Linked DNA regions of Drosophila melanogaster. The protein of the gene in region 1 purifies or fractionates together with the protein of each later gene. This does not show direct contact. Each region holds a gene or a part of one and is shown on either strand. Other genes may lie near its edges.

The links.
Region 2: the proteins of IKKbeta (region 1) and CCT1 purify together in Drosophila melanogaster (affinity purification with mass spectrometry, with the first as the bait; one large-scale study listed by BioGRID). This does not show direct contact.
Region 3: the proteins of IKKbeta (region 1) and CG12279 purify together in Drosophila melanogaster (affinity purification with mass spectrometry, with the first as the bait; one large-scale study listed by BioGRID). This does not show direct contact.
Region 4: the proteins of IKKbeta (region 1) and CG5174 purify together in Drosophila melanogaster (affinity purification with mass spectrometry, with the first as the bait; one large-scale study listed by BioGRID). This does not show direct contact.

The regions. Positions count from the first base shown.
Region 1 is NT_033777.3:16,045,803-16,051,262, reverse strand, and holds IKKbeta (I-kappaB kinase beta), read left to right. Parts: upstream 1-1,841; 5' UTR 1,842-1,942; coding exon 1,943-2,042; intron 2,043-2,102; exon of another isoform or gene 2,103-2,232; intron 2,233-2,451; coding exon 2,452-3,905; intron 3,906-3,960; coding exon 3,961-4,130; intron 4,131-4,198; coding exon 4,199-4,594; intron 4,595-4,649; coding exon 4,650-4,683; 3' UTR 4,684-4,916; downstream 4,917-5,460. Other genes in the region: CG5013 (uncharacterized protein), read right to left, coding at 681-1,295, 1,347-1,475; Jhbp5 (juvenile hormone binding protein 5), read left to right, coding at 5,354-5,456.
Region 2 is NT_033777.3:22,488,550-22,493,237, reverse strand, and holds CCT1 (chaperonin containing TCP1 subunit 1), read left to right. Parts: upstream 1-1,798; 5' UTR 1,799-1,822; exon of another isoform or gene 1,823-1,886; 5' UTR 1,887-1,906; coding exon 1,907-1,979; intron 1,980-2,216; coding exon 2,217-2,370; intron 2,371-2,425; coding exon 2,426-3,316; intron 3,317-3,379; coding exon 3,380-3,935; 3' UTR 3,936-4,133; downstream 4,134-4,688. Other genes in the region: tHMG2 (testis-enriched HMG-box-containing protein 2), read right to left, coding at 220-222; tHMG1 (testis-enriched HMG-box-containing protein 1), read right to left, coding at 931-1,311; CG5376 (uncharacterized protein), read left to right, coding at 4,356-4,553, 4,605-4,688. UniProt on the Drosophila melanogaster protein: Molecular chaperone; assists the folding of proteins upon ATP hydrolysis. Known to play a role, in vitro, in the folding of actin and tubulin.
Region 3 is NT_033777.3:12,703,452-12,706,326, forward strand, and holds CG12279 (uncharacterized protein), read left to right. Parts: upstream 1-1,642; 5' UTR 1,643-1,709; coding exon 1,710-1,830; intron 1,831-1,892; coding exon 1,893-2,052; intron 2,053-2,071; exon of another isoform or gene 2,072-2,114; coding exon 2,115-2,166; 3' UTR 2,167-2,219; downstream 2,220-2,875. Other genes in the region: Past1 (putative achaete scute target 1), read left to right, coding at 188-361, 425-630; PolQ (DNA polymerase theta), read right to left, coding at 2,220-2,530, 2,597-2,875.
Region 4 is NT_033778.4:18,421,004-18,426,772, forward strand, and holds CG5174 (uncharacterized protein), read left to right. Parts: upstream 1-1,928; 5' UTR 1,929-2,281; coding exon 2,282-2,732; intron 2,733-2,865; coding exon of another isoform or gene 2,866-2,868; intron 2,869-2,965; coding exon of another isoform or gene 2,966-3,004; intron 3,005-3,123; coding exon 3,124-3,248; intron 3,249-3,322; coding exon 3,323-3,483; intron 3,484-3,603; coding exon 3,604-3,663; intron 3,664-3,868; coding exon 3,869-4,073; intron 4,074-4,336; coding exon 4,337-4,444; 3' UTR 4,445-4,960; coding exon of another isoform or gene 4,961-5,002; 3' UTR 5,003-5,218; downstream 5,219-5,769. Other genes in the region: PIG-O (phosphatidylinositol glycan anchor biosynthesis class O), read left to right, coding at 5,726-5,769.

The DNA.
Region 1 (5,460 bases):
ATTTTAGCGACAAACAAATTGCGACGCCCTGGAACAAAATCGCGATGCATCCGAGTGCATTCCGGTACACGCACTAGCACACTCACCATCAGAATTGTGATCCAAGTACCGCCGTAGAGCGGGGACTGGGCGAGGAGCTGCGGGACTTACAGCTGGCCAGGGACAGCGGCTTGAAAGGGCTGCGCAATGCAATAACTTCGATTTTTCGCAGGCGACGACGTACCAACACTTACACACGGCACAACACAGAAGCACGCACACTTATTCGACAAAGACACACCGACGGGGTCTTTCCGGGATGCCAAGTAATGTAGCAACAATGAACAATAACTTAACTACGTTTCCAGCACTTCGAGCCTCTTTTGTGCAGCGGAATTTACTTGGTTTCGCGGTAGGTAAATAAATAATAATTTTCGCAGTTTTCCAACAGCGTCGTTGCGCCAGTGTGACCGCTACTCACAACTCTAGCATCCCCTAAAACCTAGAATTAGTGTGCTGGGTGGAAAACTTTGATAGGTACGCGCTAAATTTTAAACATATATTTCCAAATATTTGGCCAACATTGATTTCAAGCGATTACCACAGGCAAATATTTATTTGATGTTTGGGAGCATTCCCGTGTAGAACATTAACTAAGAGAGATTTGACATTCAGCATAAAAAAAGCCAATTGTATAATTGTTATGTTGTATTTATTGAGCCATCGCTTTCGATGCGCGTGATCTCCAGAAGATGAATAGTGTGTCCGCCCATAAACTCCAGCAGATCCACTCCCGACTCCTTGCCAATGTCCTCCATGCTGATGGGTAAAGCCTGCAGCTTCCACTTCTTGAGCAGCGCCTCTATGGACCAGTCGGCGCTCCGCTCCTGGTATGTAAATATAAATTTGGCCCCGGCATTTCGCTCCAGCAGAAAAGCAACTGTGACCACGATATCCTCGAACACGCTGGGATCGTAGAAGCAGTCTGCTGCAATGATAAGGTCCAGAGGCGGCAGTCGGAACACGCTGTTCAGCAGCAGGCCCCAACTCAGGCCCACCACATCGATATCAACGCCCGGCTGCAGTTGATTGGCCAGGCAGGACTTTCGGATATGGGCCAGTGACTTGGGCAGAATGCAGTTGTCAGTAAGTACCACTTGGGCGCGGCATTTGGCCGCCAGAATGCCGGGCAGGGCGGTGCCGCTTCCCAGCTCCAGGATGCGCTTGCCCGCCAGTGTCTGTCGGCGCTCCCACAGGAAGTGGGCTAAAATTGGTGCGCAAGGCCATGTGTAGAAGGAGTAGGCACCCTGAAGCAGCTGTAGGCGGACACTTTAGATACTACACGAACACCTGGTTCTAAGGATTACCTCAGGTATTTTGATCTCCAGTCGCTCGGCGGGTGATCCGCTGAAGACAAACTTGCGGATATGCTCGGCAGTGGCTGTGGCCGCCACAATGTCATTGTCCTCGCTGCCGCTCTTCATGTGGAAACGCATCTTAGCTCAAGCATGCAGGAGTATTACTATTTTCACTAAACTAAAGTTATTTTTCAGCGTTTTGTTTACAACCTGTTTGATTAGCGATGTCACTTCGTTGCGATAACTTAATCGATAAAAATTGAGGCGAGTGAAGCAAATAGTGACCGAAGGGTGACTTCAGTAGCAGTTGACATTTTAAGCCACCATTTCTAAGCTTCAATTAAAAACGTTTTTGGGTATCCCAATTCGTCCAGTTTATTTAAAGGTATGCATCCCAATTGAAAGTGGCTGCAGCTGAGCGCTCCTCTAAACAAAATTCTCGTGACCGCGATTGCTGCTGAACGATGACTAGTGTATAAGCAATCGAATATCGCAAATCTTGTATGATCACTGTGGTGTTTTGCTTTTCCGATTGCCATGGAGGGATTCAGATTCTTGGAAGAATGAGCTCCGTAAATAAAATAAAGCTTAACGAAAACAACAAGATGCACTCTTTTGGGAACTGGGAGCGGTGCCGGAATCTGGGAGAGGGCGGATTCGGCCTAGTGATCCATTGGCGAAACCGAACAACGGGCCGTGAAATTGGTGAGCTATAAACACCTTATGGGCTAACACTAATATACATATACATATAAATATTTTAAGGATTTTCTTTTTCGCAAACACACATTACCAGCCCCCAAACACCCTCCCCCTTTCCAGCCTTACTCATAAATAAATAAATTTTTTGTTGTATTTTGTATATATCCAAATAATAAAACCATAAAAACAACATACATATACATATGAACATGTTTGTTGTCCAACAATTCCCAGAAACCGAGCTGAGGCATGCGTTTCCGGGTGGTCCACTGATAGTGATAGAGGGCTCGAGTTTTGCGCGTTTGGTGTGGTCTCCGCATTAGATATGTCGCTTATAGCCTTTCGGCTGAGTTAGCCGATATGGCAGATATTTTAAGCGTCAGTCTTAAGTGTTTATTTATTTTCCACATAGCCACCAAGCACATAAAGGAGATGGGGGCCCTGAGTGCCGATCAGCAAGTCAAGCTCAGCGAGCGTTGGAACAAGGAGCTGAACTGGTCTCGTCAGTTTAAAAACTTTCCCCATATTGTGGCTGGCGTGGACATCGAGGATCCGGACTTTTTGGAGTACCTGAATGGCATGTTTAGTGCCAAGTTGCCTGTTATTGTGCTGGAATACTGTAACGGTGGAGACGTGAGGAAGCGTCTGCAGAGCCCGGAGAATGCTAATGGTCTGACGGAGTTCGAGGTGCGGCAGATACTGGGAGCCCTACGTAAGGCCCTACATTTTCTGCACTCGCAGTGTGGGATTTGCCACCGCGATTTGAAGCCGGACAATATAGTAATCCAACGTGGAGTTGATGGCAAAAAAATCTATAAGCTAACCGATTTTGGACTCGCCCGAGGAACTCCCGACCAGACCATGGTGCAGAGCGTGGTGGGCACCCGACATTACTATGCCCCAGAAGTGGTGGAAAATGGTTTTTACAACTCGACCGTGGATTTATGGTCCTTCGGAGTAATTGCCTATGAGCTGGTCACTGGTGAGCTGCCCTTCATCCCCCATCAAACCCTTAAAAACATTATACTCAATCTGATAAAAAAGCCCGCCAAATGCATTGCTATCACAGAGGATCCGGAGGATAACACTCGTTTCGTGAATCAGTTTGAACTGCCACAGACGCACCATCTGTCGCGGCCCTGGGCTGCTCAGTTCACCAAATGGCTGGCAAGCCCGTTAAACTCAAACTACAAGGAACGCGGTCAACTAGCAGCTAATAACGTTCCAGTCGTCTTCGCTGACCTGGACAAAATACTCAATATGAATGTGCTAACTATTTTTGCTGTTAACAACTGCGAACGACTTGAGTATGCGGTCTCTGCGGAGATGACTATGAAGGATCTAATTGCGTTGATTGTCCTGGACACTGGAATGGACGAAAAGGAACTGTACTTCGTGCTGCCCACTTCCCATCCGCACAAAACGATTACGCCTAAAAGTACGCCCTTGCAGCTGTATGTGGAGGAGTGGAGTGACACAAGCAAAGATTCACGAAAGTGGACTAAGCGCAGCAATCCACCTGTGATGTTGTACATCTTTCAGGTCAAGAAAGAGTGTGACTACAAAATACCTGAACCCATTCTATCAATTCTTTCTCGAAAGTTTATCGCTAACAAATTTAAGACGAAGGAAAGATGGCTGCAAAAACGTGTTGTCTTGGATATGCTCTACGTGCTAACCAAAGAGCAAGCAAGATACGAAATGCTCGTGTCAGGAATAAACGAGCGAGCGTTGTCGTTGGAAGACGAAATGATGGAAAACTCGTTTATAGACAGCATCGATAAGCAGCGTATCATAATCTCCTTTGCCTATGATCAGCTAACAAGCTTGCTAAAAGAAGCCCAAGCAAAGATTCCGTCCCGCCAGGTAGCAGTTCTTACTATACTCCTTAATCCCGTAGTAATTCAGTGTTTTTTTCCAGCTTATCAGCAGTGCACAGTGGGAGAAGCTTAACCGCAATTATAATTTCATTATACAAAGCGCAAAATCAATTAGGTCTTTCTTGGAAGCCTGCTTGCGGGAAGCCAAGGACATGGTTAAAACCACCAATCAACTACGGAAAGAAGTTTGCGAGAAAGACCTATTCGATTGGTAAGGTTTTTATATCAAATGACCAGACCAATATGTATAATGCAGCGTTTTTATTTTTTAATTCTTAGCGCTCGATTTTATAAGAAATATCTCTGCAATGGTGCGATAATTTCGCCATCAGAGTTAAATAATGACGCCGAGGAATTCGCAAAATCTCGTTTCAAGTTATATAACGAGGGCGAGGCTAGACATCTGCCCAAGTCTATCGATCACATGCATTACTTATATTTTAAGACCAAGGAGTCCATCCCGGTCCTTCTACAACAATTTTGCGACATCAAGAAGGAGATATTTCAGATTAACTTGCAGATGTTGATGTCAGCCTCAAGCACACCACCTCCGAAGCTTGAGCTAAGCGCAGCGATGGACCGCCTAGCTATAAGCTCTGGCTCACCCAGCTCGGATCCATTTGACTCTCTACGCACGATAAACGCTATCGAAGAGGCAGAAAGGATTAACAACATGTAAGTTAATACAGAAAACTGTTAAAAATTTACTAATAAATCATTTGGGTTACAGACTTGTTAATGAAATGAAAATTGATCACTATTAGTGTGCATTCTGGTCGACCATACATTTTAATTTGATTTCAATCAAACCGCATAAATATTTCTCCATTCGAAATCATACAAATGTGTATTTCGATTTTTTGTTATTGCCCGCTTATCCAATTAATTAGCTTTATTAGTTTCATAGAATCTTTAATGTTCTCATTTGGAAACGTTTTTTTTTTTGTTTAGAAATATGTGTTACGAACATTGAAATAAATGACAAACCTTATTTTTTACTAGCTACGCTTTTTCACTGGAAAACCCAAGTGTTTACACGACTTAATTTATGTTCGCGGTATCGTGAAATAGTGCACTTGCATTTGATCTGATTTCCAGATGTGTATGTTACTATATCAATACTTGCTATATATTCAATCCACAGTAGATTATATAATTTTATGACATATATATATGTATGTATATATATATATAGACAGACCGCTTAATTTCTGAATAAACAGCTGTATATAGCTTGGCTTGGTCAATTGAAATGAAACTTGCTGAGGATTGCAATGTCACGGGAAATTGCACATGCGGCAGAACAGAGAATTAGTCGGCTTTTGGCCATGCCAGACGTTGCTATAAAAGAAAATCGAACAACTGGGCAGCCACCAGAAGCCGAAAGCCAGTGACCACTGCCAGAGCTTCAAGGAGATCGCAAGGAAACACAAAATGAACCAATACTTTTTGACGGGCTTGCTTTTGGTGCTAGGAGTAGTACTACATATAGACTGGACAACAGCCAAACCTCCGGCGAAAAAGGCGGATCAGCTGCGTAC
Region 2 (4,688 bases), 6.4 Mb from region 1:
AAAATGTTTACTTTAAAAATTTAATTGGAAAATTTGTAGTAGATGTAAGAAATTCTACGATTTGGACTGAATATCGTTGAGATCCAGACGAAACTAAAAATATCTTACAGAGCACATGATAAGTAATGCGAAATCAAAGTCAATGCCTACTGAATAGTTTTAATTTATTATAGGGCATATTTTTAAGGCACCAATATTTAGTATTTAAAAAAGCGTTACCATGATTTTCAACCAGGGCTTCCAAAACAATCGGTTATCGGTTTCCAGCAATATCTGTAAGGTGGCTTTGAATGTGCTGCTGAAAAATACTGTATAGCCTGGATTAATTCCGCGAACTTTGTGAAAGTAAGAAAAGTTAAAAACTCGCGCTAATTAGTGCCAGTTTGAGTAGGTAATTACAAATAACTTTCCATTAAAAATAGTAAATAACTTTCACTGTTTTCCCTTTTTTTTCTGCGCACACCACATTGTTAATTGAGTTAAAAGGCAAAGTTTTAATTTATGTTCCTGCCATGCAATCACGTTTTCACTTTCCCAGCCGTTCGTATTCGTAGGCCATAGCCACTATAGTAACTCATTATGCATGTAACACGGCATACTTTGTGCGATCTTTAAAATTCAATAAGGTAACTATGAAAAAAGGACCCCAAACCGTTGAAACGCTGATGGCTAGCGAGTTTTTCATTCGTTTTCCCTCTTTTTTAACAAGCCGCCAGCAAAGTGCTTTCACAGATTTTTGTTGGCCATACTGGTCCAAGACCCGCGAGATAGGACATGGAAAACTTGGAGAGTACAGCCAAGCATTTTCGGCTGATGGTGCGCTTCTGTATGTATGCTACGAAAAGTGTTAATATTTAAATTTATCAAAAACAAATTTATATTAGCTTGTGGATTTTAGTACAACAATAAATTAACAAATGTAGTAAACGCTTAGTGAAGGCACCTGGTCTTTGATAAGCACTTCCTGCAGATCGGAGTCATCGAGTCATCCATGGTGTCGTACACAAAAAGGGTGGGGCATTGGTTAGTATTTGAGGAACAAATACATTGCGTGTCCGAAAAGCGGTGCTCCTTGGGGAAATTCCACTGCTTCAACTTCTCCTTGTACTCGGCCATTGCCGTGGTGGCCGACTCCTGCCACACGATCTTGTCCTCATCGGCCATGGCTCGCCACATCTCTCCGCCCTTCACAGACACTTCTTGGACACTAAAATCGGGATGCTCCGCTTTTATGTGCTTCCGCCCGGTGGAATTCATCCACAACATGAAGGCGCTCATGGGTTTTTTGGGGCGCGCTCCGCAGTCTGACATCTTTATCGTAATAAATAAAAGTTAAAAAAAATGTTTACTTTAACAATTTGTTGTAGATGTAAGAAATGCTTCGATTTGGGCTGTATATCGTTGAGATCAAGAGGTAAACTGAAAATATCTTACAGAGCACACGATATGTAATGCGAAATCAAAGTCAATGCCTACTGAATACTTTTACTCCATCAGAAAGCACAATTTTATAATTAATAATTAATAATTAATAATAATCTTGAATTAATATTTAAAAAACCGTTACCTGATGCTCAACCAGGGTTCCCTAAACAATCGGTTATCGATTACCATCGATACTTTGAACGCCGCTTTGAATGTGCTGCAAAATATGCCTAATAATAAATAAGCCAATATATGTTCTATATATTTTTGATGCTGCGCTAATGTAACACATAGTATAAACTTATAAATGTTATGGAATCCTTGCTCTCCAAGAAAAAATCTTGCACTCGATAGTATCGAATCGACATCGGGTTTTTGTTCATCTCGAAGTCTTAAAGTGAGTCAGGCGGTTTAACGTGCGGTTTTTCAGCGTATTTGATTTATCTGTTTTTTATTAAAAGTCGCGGAAGAACTTAGGAAAATGTCGACCCTGGCCTCTCCTCTGTCCATTGCTGGCACCCGCCAATCCGGCGCATCGGTGCGCACACAGAACGGTGAGAATCCCGGGGTTTTGTCAACATCTGCGGTGCGTCTGCCGGCGGAGCACGTTTCTTACTCATCGCGGGTCACGCTCTCCACGAAGAATGTTCCGGAACCAACCCGGGGGAGGGCGATCTTATTTTAATTGGATTAACAAAAAAACTCATTGAATCCAAGGAGCTACAAGATCCTGTGGACAAGCCTATGCGAAGTGAGGTTATGACTACAACTCGGCTTTTATATGCTTTCAGTTATGGCCGCTCTGTCCATATCGAACATCGTGAAAAGCTCCTTGGGACCCGTGGGTCTGGACAAGATGCTGGTGGACGACATCGGCGATGTCACAGTGACCAACGATGGAGCCACCATTCTGCGACTGCTGGAGGTGGAGCACCCGGCAGCCAAGTGAGTTGTTGATGTGGGAAATCTTTCAAAGAAGTACTCATTTCTAAATTTTAAGGGTCCTGGTTGAGCTGGCTCAGCTGCAGGACGAGGAGGTCGGCGATGGCACTACCTCGGTGGTTATCCTGGCCGCTGAGCTGCTGAAAAACGCCGACGAGCTGGTCAAGCAGAAGATTCATCCTACCTCCATAATCTCCGGCTACCGCATTGCCTGCAAGGAGGCCTGCAAGTACATCTCGGAGCATCTGACCGCTCCCGTTGATGAGCTGGGCCGCGATTCCCTGATTAACATTGCCAAGACCTCGATGAGCTCCAAGATCATTGGTGCTGACGCAGAGTTCTTCTCAGCCATGGTTGTGGACGCTGCCCAGTCGGTGAAAATCACAGATCCCCGTGGGCAGGCAGCCTATTCGATTAAAGCCATCAATGTCCTGAAGGCCCATGGCAAGTCTGCCAGGGAATCGGTGCTGATTCCCGGCTATGCCTTGAACTGCACAATTGCCTCCCAGCAGATGCCCAAGAAGATTGTGAACGCCAAGATTGCCTGCCTAGACTTCTCGCTGCAGAAGACCAAGATGAAGATGGGTGTCCAGGTCTTGATCAATGATCCCGACAAGCTGGAGGCTATTCGTGCCCGTGAGCTGGACATTACCAAGGAGCGCATCAACATGATCCTCGGAACCGGTGTCAATGTAGTACTGGTTAGCGGCGGCGTTGATGATTTGTGCATGAAGTACTTCGTTGAGGCTGGAGCCATGGCTGTGCGTCGTGTGAAGAAGAGCGATCTGAAGATCATTGCTAAGGCTACCGGCGCCGCCTTTATTACCTCGCTGACCAACATGGACGGTGAGGAGAGCTTCGATGCCTCAATGGTGGGAGAGGCCGCAGAGGTGGCCCAGGAGCGCATCTGCGATGATGAACTTATCCTCATCAAGGGCACTAAGGCACGGTAAGTGCAGATTATATCATGCAGTAACATAGTTTGCTTTATCGTATCCCTATGCCTTTTTAGTGCTGCCGCATCCATTATCTTGCGTGGTCCCAATGACTTCTACTGTGATGAGATGGAGCGCTCCGTCCACGACGCTCTGTGCGTGGTGAAGCGTGTGCTGGAGAGCAAGAAGGTTGTAGCCGGCGGCGGCTGTGTGGAGGCTGCTTTGTCGATCTACCTGGAGAACTTTGCCACCTCGCTGGCTTCCCGCGAACAGCTGGCCATTGCCGAATTCGCAAAGTCGCTGCTGGTCATTCCCAAGACTCTGTCCGTGAACGCGGCCAAGGATGCCACTGATCTAGTGGCCAAGCTCCGCTCCTACCACAACTCCAGCCAGACGAAGCCCGAGCGTTCGGATCTTAAGTGGACCGGTCTGGATCTGATCGAGGGAGTGGTAAGGGACAACAAGAAGGCTGGAGTTTTGGAGCCCGCCATGTCCAAGATCAAGTCGCTGAAGTTCGCCACGGAGGCCGCCATTACCATTTTGCGTATTGACGACATGATCAAGCTGAATCCGGAGGACAAGAGCGGCAAGAGTTACGCCGATGCATGCGCTGCCGGCGAGCTGGACGGTTAGACATTCTTCACCGCGAGCGAAGCACATTTCTTCTATCTTGTTTAGGCATTTAATTTTAATCAAATCACTCACTTTCAATTGTCGCCCCATTGATTGTAACAACAATTTAATTGTGTTGCCCTTCGCGATCTGTATTAACACCGCACATCCGCAATCCTTTCTCATCCATGCTTCAATGTATAATAAACTGATCTTCAGAATATGCTGAGGCGTAAACTAAATTGGAGGGAAACAGTTTGTTATTTCGGGAGAGCGATCTGGCCAAGAGCAGGCAGAGAGCGATCCGGAGAGTGGGATGTCCTATAAATAGAGCGTGCATCTATTTGGTCTATTAATACAAAAAGAAAACACATCCCAAAAAGCACGGAAAACGCACATTGCTCTACGAATTTTTATCATTTAAAAAGAATTCTTCATAAAATGGCCGATCATAACGAAGATGAAGCTGTTGGCGGTGACCTAAACAACAATATAACAGCAAATGGGCAGGAGGAAGTGCGTCAGCCGGAGCAGCCGCAGAACGAACTGCTGGACATGGTTTTCACGTTGGAAAGCGAAAAACAGGCACTACTAGAGGAGTCTCGCAAACGGATCGGAGCGCTCCGCAAAGACTTTGAGGTTAGTTACTCGTCTCCACGGGCTGCACCCACTTACTGACCCTGATTGCAGGAAGCCAAGGCGGAAAATGAGCGTTTAAAGCGGAGAGTGGTCCAGTTGGAGCAGTCGCTCAAGCAGTCCGTCATGCTGGGCGGC
Region 3 (2,875 bases), 3.3 Mb from region 1:
AACGGCGGCGGCGACGTCAATTGGAGCCAGAGCGATCTAAAGGTTTTAATTGCCTCAAATTGAATGTTTGTGCACGGCGACGCACCGATCAACTTAGATTACATGCTTAATTAATGCAAATTTATGGCGCACACAGAGTATCGAATGCCACACTGACCTCTCCATCCATTCATCGCCTCTTCCACAGGTGGTGCCTTCGAGGGAGTCATCGACGACCATGTCTCACCATTCGGCTACATGAAGGGCGAGGGCATCGATGCCGGCTACGGAGAGCACGAGTGGATCTGCAACAAGGACAAGCCGCGCACAGATGGCATCTTCAATGGGCTGGGACCAGTCGATGGCAAGATATCCGGTGCAAGTAAGTTTGTTATAACTCAAGGGGAAAATCGAAAACAATAATCCCATTCTTCGCCACTTGCAGCTGCCAAGCAGGAACTCATCAAATCGAAACTGCCCAACTCGGTGCTCAGCAAGATCTGGAAACTGTCGGACGTCGACGGCGATGGGTTCCTGGACTCTGACGAGTTCGCGCTGGCCTTGCACTTAATCAACGTCAAGCTGGAAGGCTGCGAGCTGCCCACCGTGCTGCCGGAGCACTTAGTACCGCCGTCGAAGCGCTATGACTAGTGTCCTGTAGCATACGCATACGCACACCCGATCACACAGCCTCACAATTCCCAAAAAAAAAAAAAAAACACAGCCGTACACAGATGTCGCATAGAGACCAACTCCTAGGATGCACTATGTTCGATTCTTTTGACTTTTAGCCACACAGTGCAGGCGACTGCCCTTTTATATGTACTATACTCGTTGTGAACGCGCCATTAATGCGCTGGGTATTAAAACACACACCGTATCACCGTATGACCGACCGTATGAGATATCAATCATAAATTCGTAGAATTTACACAAGCATATAGCATATTTTTGGATAATCGATTGTAAAGCAGGATGTAGAGTAGCAGCCTAGTGGAATAAGACAAGGAGTGTGTGTTAAGCGCCTAATTGTCATTGTTGACTTAAGGAAAGTGAAGTGTGGATAAACAATTGTTCAATGCCAATGAAAAAAGCATGAGTTAAACTGTATACAATATCTAGGTTAATGTCGATGTGCAGCTTGAAGGGCCATTAATTTGCAATCGTACCACTTTTGATACACAATAAATGTATTTTTGTTATACTACAAATTTACAATCGACGGAATCGTGGGTTACGGCATGTATTTCCTGTATTTATTTTGAAATATTATTAATTGTTTGAAATGCTCCCGCAAGGCAGGCCACTTGAAAGAGAAACGTGCAATTTACTGCCTGTGCTTCGACTATTTTGTAATTAGTGAATTCTTGAATATTAAATAATATTAAATGTGAAACTAATCTGATTTTTAAATTGTATAAAAGAATAAAATGAAACTATTTTGGAAGTGTTTGTTTGGAATGTGAATGGGGGTTCATTGTTATGGTAGCTTATATTTCAAGTTGATTTTTCTTTAATCAACAAAGTAGCTATGGCTTGAAAAACGTTTCAAAAGAGAATCAGTTACTTTTCAGTAAACTTTCAAATTTTAAACTTTTCGAAACTAACTGATTTCGGTATATTTTTCTGAACTGCTGGTATATTTAATCATTCGATCTGTGGTCACACCTCAAACCGGGCTAACTTTTGAGTTCAACTAAGTTCTTTAAGAATTACCATTAAAAATAAATATGGCCACCTACGAGGAAGTCAAGGACATTCCAAACCACCCGGAGAAGTACCTGTTCGATGTGCGCAACGAGTCGGAGCTGAAGGAGACGGGCGTCCTGCCCGCCAGCATAAACATTCCACGTGAGAAGCGCCAAAGTCCAGGGATTACCGGCTTAATGGACACGCCTTTTTCTAATTTCCAGTGAGCGAGCTGGAGAAGGCACTGAACTTGCCGGAGGAGGACTTCGCCCAGACTTATGGACGCGTCAAGCCGGCCGTCGATGCGGTCTTGATCTTCTCGTGCAAGGCGGGAGGACGCGCTGCCCGGGCGGCCAATCTGGCCAGCACGCTGGGCTTCACCAAGTGAGTCTCATGTTGAAGTACGTTTTAAAAGATATGTACAATTATTTATTAATCAATTGCAGCGCCAAGGCTTATGCCGGATCATGGACGGAGTGGCAGGCCAAGCAGTCCTAAAACATTCAGTCTTTAAACAAATTGATTACAAATCTATAAAATGATATAATAAACTACACGCTAACTTCCTTAAATTCACCCCAACTGCGTCCGATCCTCAGCTTCACCTTGAGTGGCACGCTGAGTTTCACGCAGTTCTCCATGGTGAGGCTAAGGACTTTGGCTATTTTTTTGGCCTTTCCCGTTGGCACCTCGAAAATGAGTTCGTCATGTAGGTGCATTACCAGGTCAACTGAATTGTCACCCAATGCCAGCTTTTCGCGATAACGTTCAATGTTCTTTTCCATCTTCAGAATAGCGTTCTTCGCAATATCCGCAGCCGATCCTTGGATGGTGGAGTTAACGGCCTGGCGCTCGGCCTGATCTGTGAGAAAGGGAGAAAGGAGGGATGTTCAAATGGAGATCACAATCGGTTTTGGAAGACACATACTTTTTAGATGCTCCACATCACTGTTGATATTTTCCAAATACCGTCGCCGTCCAGTAATGGTCTCAACAAATCCCTTGCTGCGTGCGAAATTGACCACCCTCGTGGTGTAATCGCGAATACCCTTGTACGCCTGGTGAAACTGATCGGATATCATCCGCGCCTCCTGCTCACTGCAGTTTAACGACTCGGCCAGGGACCGCATGCCCATGCCGTAGACGATTCCGTAGCACACCTGCTTGGTGCTGTTGCGGAGGTCCTGCGTCACTTCGGACTCTTCGA
Region 4 (5,769 bases), on another chromosome or scaffold:
TGTCTGCAAAACAAAATATTTTCATTAACAATTCGATTTCTAACTATAATTTTCAACCCAGATATAGCAGATACAACCGTATGTCTTATTTCTTTTGAAATACAAAAGTTTTAAACCGAAACTTTTCTGTTTGAATAAAGGCGCGATCTGGCAGCTCTAGGTAGTGGTGTCACAGCGTCGATAACTAACTTAGTTTCTCACCGAGCTGCAACAAGTTTAATTACAATCGATAACGAAGATTGGAGCTTTTAGTGAGTAAAATTTGACCCATTTCTGTTGTTTGAACGTTTATTACGCATTACGTATTTACTTAAGCGATTTTGTGAATTTTTTGTGTGTAGTTATGTGCACGAGAGATGGAATTTTTGACCGAAAGCTGCTATCGATAGTGACATTCCTTCGATTTATTTTAGCAACCATCGATAGCTAAGCAAGCGAAACAAAAAATTATTTTCAACTTGAAAGTTTTGCGACAAGTGCGTGCAGTTGGCATCGAAATAGTTAACAAAATTGCCGCAGACTTCCGGAGACAACGCCGTAATGGAGGACCGTAAGTGTGTGGCATACGGACGCAGTGCATCATTGCAATTCCAATGCAGCGGCACATGTTTCCGTGGGCTCTTGTGACCTGGGCGATTGGGACACCTAAGACCTTTCGGGTAATTCGGGTATCATTACTATTGTAGGACTCTGATTCAGCAGCGGCTTTGCCAAAAGTTTTGGGGGACTTAGAATACACAATGAGTTAACCTTGGTGCGCTGGGAATCAGCAGATGAGTCATGGTTCCGATTTGCGTAGGGTGAAAGGCTTTCCAACTATTCGGATTACCGTGGAAGTTCTGCGACATGCCATCGATGGCAATCCGTTTGGTGGGCGGGGGTCAGGTTCTTTGTGGTGTAAGTATTGCATTCTCGGTTTCCGACGTCCATGCATACGTGGCTTTTAGAAGCGCAACATCCGCAGGGCGGCTATGATATGCATATCATCTGAAAACGCCTCCTCCCACTGAGCTTATCACCATGGTGCCACTATAATTGTTCGGAGCTCTGTTCCCCCACCGAAACCACTTAGTAATTGGCTTCCACTTGTTGACTTCTCGATGGGATTGGGCCTGCCACAACAACAGGCACTTCTGAGCAGCAAGAACTCGCAGCAAACCAGAACTAGCTCACATATATATATATATATATATATAGTGTAGATATAGGGTCCATCAATGTGGCACAGTGGCTTTGTGCTCATACAGTGCTTGATGGTCGGAGGAAGCTGGGAAAAATCGGAAAAATCCAAACTGGTAATTGCTATTTAGCAAGAAGCTAAATTATGAATTATTTTCCTTTTTTTGTTTGGCTCCAACAAAGCGATACAGTTATGTACAGTACGTTTTTGCAAAGAAAAACTTTATTTATAGTTATATTTAAAGTTCCTTATCATAGGGTTTTTCAATTTTTAAAGTTGTTCATCTCCTCACAATTGTTTACTTAATAAATTTAAAAGGTACAATTAAAGAAGAATATTATTCAATTAATAAATTGAAGTCTCGGTTTATCAAAGCTTTTTGACTGATAAAATAATCATTTTAGCTGCAATTAAATTAGACACATATATGTATATCTAGTGTCTTATCAAAGCGTACTTATTATTTATGCAAATATTATTAGCTTTATAACTTTCCCATGCTTATTAATTTATAAATTAAATGAAGTGTAAAGTTGGTTACTATAGAGCTAATGTATTTACGTAGCTGTAACTTTTAGTCAAGCTCTACTGTAGTCTTGCTGGTTGCTACTGCTGCTGCTGCCTGTTGCTGCCCCTTTTGTTTAGCGCTCTTCTTGTGGCATTTCTCGTCTTCGTGCTGACACGAATCATCAACAAGCGGAGCCAAGCGGCCAACCAATCCACATCTACCAATTTCTAAGCCGAGATCGAGTCAGTTGGCATTTGGCTGTAGACGAGCGTGGATGGAGCAGGCCCAGAATCGAAAGCGAAAACGAAACTGAAATCGAAACAGAAACAGAAGAACCACCACAAACCAGCTGCGATCGCATGGGGAGAGGAATTTATGTGGAACGCGGCGGGCCAAGAACTGAAAGCTCAGCAAAGAACGATCGAAGTGGCTGAAAGCAGGGCCAAGAAAAATGTGCTCGCTGCTGACCGTGGAAACGTGATATGTGCTTAGGATTGGGCCAAGACAATATGAGCCTCCTGCGCCAGCAGCTGCCACGTTCAAAATAGAAAGTTGCTGCCAAAGATGAAAGAGAGCGCCGCTATTGCCACAGAATGAGCGAATCGGAACCGAATAGCCTGGAGTTCATTGAAGACCCCTATCTGCCAAGCATTGATGATCTCACCAGCACACCGTCACTGGATCTGGAAACCAATGATGCCGTCTTGGACTGGTATGGCGATGGGCAGGAGGAGAGCGAGGCTGAGCTATATTTGCGTAATCTGACGCTAGACCAGATATTCTACGATGTGGATTCGGACTACACCAACAGCCTGGAATTGCAGGCAGTGGAGGCGGACTTCATTGCCGCCAAGTTGGCCAATCAAGCGCCATCGTCTTCGATGGCCAAACGCTTCCGCTTGAAGTTCTTTGCCAAGCGAACCATGCGCGACGTTAAGGTCACGTTCATAGACTTCTCCAAACCGTATCTGGCCAAAATATCAAACAGTGATAACTACAAGAGATTCCTCAACATTGGGCATAGAAGTAGAGGTACCAAATTCGGTCAGTGGGGAGGGGGGTTGGTGGGCTTAGGTCGGGTCTTTGTTCTGTGGCATTCGCTTTTCCACTTTCAACCATGACTAACCAGACTAACTTCTCTGTTTCTTTCTCCTTTGCCTGCCTTTCGCCTCGTCAGTTTGTGAGTATTAACAAAAACCCAGATCTAACCAATTAACCAACTCATGTCTTTGCAAATTGTACATACTCGTATATACAACTAAATTCGGTGTATTCAGCCTATGACAAAGTCTTTGAGGAAGTTGCTTTCAAAGGAGGTACTTAAACACTACCCGCCGACAACATTGAAATTAAGCTACAGTCCCCACACAGCACCCCAAGTTTTAATGTTCCCTTGGATTGGCATATATTTAATGGCTTTTTATTTCATGTTCAGATAATACAGCCAACCTGTCGGAGCCAGCATCTCCAGCTAATTCTGTGGCATCCGCAGAAATTGCCGCCGAGTTCGCTGCGCTTTCCGTCGAGGAGAAGGAGCAGCGTCGGGCTGAGTGGAGTCAGGTAAGGAAGTTTTCAGTTTTACGATCATAATTTGATTACTCAGCTCGAACGCTAACTTCTACTTCAATTTCCAGGAGCTCGCCCGCGTTGAGGAAGAGATCAATACGCTGCGAACTGTCCTAGCCTCCAAGACGCGCCATGCCTCCGATCTCAAGCGCAAGCTGGGCATCACCGTCTGGAAGGAGGTGACGGACGACGTGAACCAGGGCCTTAAGAACCTCAAGGAGAGCACTGTGTAAGTCTATGAACCGTTCGCAGTTCTGCTGGGCAATTAACCCGACTAGACAGTTTTAATTTCTAACCATGCTTTTTGTTTCAAACTCCTGTTGAAACGCTATAACGTGTATTTATTTAGTTACCAATCGGTGGAGCAGAGCGTGGGCACGTTTACTAAAACGGTGTACGAGGCACCACTGTAAGTAATTGGGTTCAGGCTGATTTTTAATTGGGTACTTTTGGAGTTACCGGACTAACGCCGTGTTTCACGCCACTTCCTTTAACACAATAACCAACTCTCGCCTGTTTGTAACTAAAGCGCACCTATGTTTGCCCACTTTGTGTATGGAGGAAAACTATCGAGATGAGTAACTAATGTTGGATTTATTTGTACTCTCCCCTAGATACCAACGCACTGAGTCGGTGCTAAAGTCCACGGGCGAGAAGACCGCCTCGGTGTTTGGCAGCATCACCAGTGGCATTTCGTCGAAACTGTCGCAAATGAAAAACTCCGAATCGATGCGTTCTATCGAGGCTTCGGTGGGCTCTGCCTACGAGAACGTTAAAGTAAGCTATGAACACAACAATTTTATGTGCCAATCTCATGCGGTAACTACTATTTTATTATATATCTGTCTTTACACATCTCTCATACTGTTGCGATTCTGTTTTGGTTCCCGTCTAACTAACTAGCCACTAACTAACCAACTAACTAACACTAACCACACATCTTTCACACTTGCTCACCCACTATAAACGCACTCTGAATTGGGATACTTCGGTTGATTTGCTTGCTTACACAACGAACTACTCCTTGCGCAAATGCTACTGCACCTCTACTACAATCTGTTCGGTTTTCTGTTCTATTGTAGACCAAGGTGACATCCCGCTCGGGTTCGGTGTCCAGTTTCCCAGATGCCCTGGACGAGAATAACACATCCTCGGGTCTGAATTCACCCACAGACTCACTCCCGAAATAGATTTCGGGGCAACTGCAAGGCCAAGCGCGTCGATAATGTGGAGCAACCTATACTACATACAAACAGACCCACGCACCCACTCTATTAACTTATTTAACTAAAGCGAATTGTCGTGTCTGCGCACTAACAACAGGATCAGAATTAATTTAACCAGAAATCATATGTACACCTGTGTCGATACGGTTTATATAATACTTAATATAACTAAAATCTGCGCGTCAAAAATTTGCCAATGGGAGCACATATTATATGCATCTATTTGTATTTGCCTTGGAGACACCATCAAATTGCATGACTTGTTTAAATTTAAAGCCACGGAGGATCGAAGATCCAAGGGCTTGCTGCATTCGTTTATATAACTATCAATCTAAGTGTACGTTTAAAGACTAAACCACATTGGATGGTCCACCCGATGTCATTCCCAAATGTTTCTAATACTTAGTAAAAACATTAGAAAATCATGCATTGCGGTTAAAGTGAATATACATTTGTTTTACGCTTTTATTTCTTCTCTAGGCGTTGAGTTCCGTGGTTAGATGGCGTTCCCTAATCCGTTGAAAAGCCAATTCCAAATTTATTTAGTACTAAATATTTGTGTTACGATCAGAGCTTGCGTGCAAATAACGAAAATCCATTGGTAAACTTAAGTGGATGTAGTCCGTACTGCTGAAGATTGAGAAAGAGACGAAATCGCACCCAATTTGTTGCTAATGCTGATCAAATTTGCTATATGTGTATGAAATCTTTGAATAAATGCAAAAATTTTTGCCCCATAAAAATAGCGATGTCTTTTTGATAAATGATGTTTGGGAGTATATGTGTGATTACCTTTTCAAACTTAAACTACAGCTAATGAATTAAAAAAAGTTAATTTCCAATTTCATCTGTCAGCTTTAAATATCCCGCCAAAAATTATAATAAAGTTGACAACTCTGATTTAACCCAGGGATCAACGTAAAACAGCTGTTTGCTTTGACGAGGTGGCAACGCCATAGAGGGTTCTTGCATACTTCTCAATTTTTTCTTCAGGCCACAAGAAAATCTTTAGATATGAGGAATTTTAAATGAAAACAGCGAGCAAACAGAACGCATCGTGATGCCGGAAACCTAATCAACCACTCCGAAGTAAAGTGCAATTAAATTACATAGTTTTATACAACTGAAAGCGGCTGGCCAGCCGCATAAAGTATTCGCCTACACCAGCATTGTTCTAAATGCTAAAAAGTTTATTACTCATTAAGCATTTGTGTGCCTAGTTAGTTAATTAATCGCAGCCGAAAGATGAACTTGACGTACTTGTTCGTGCTTATTTGGCTGGCCTTCCT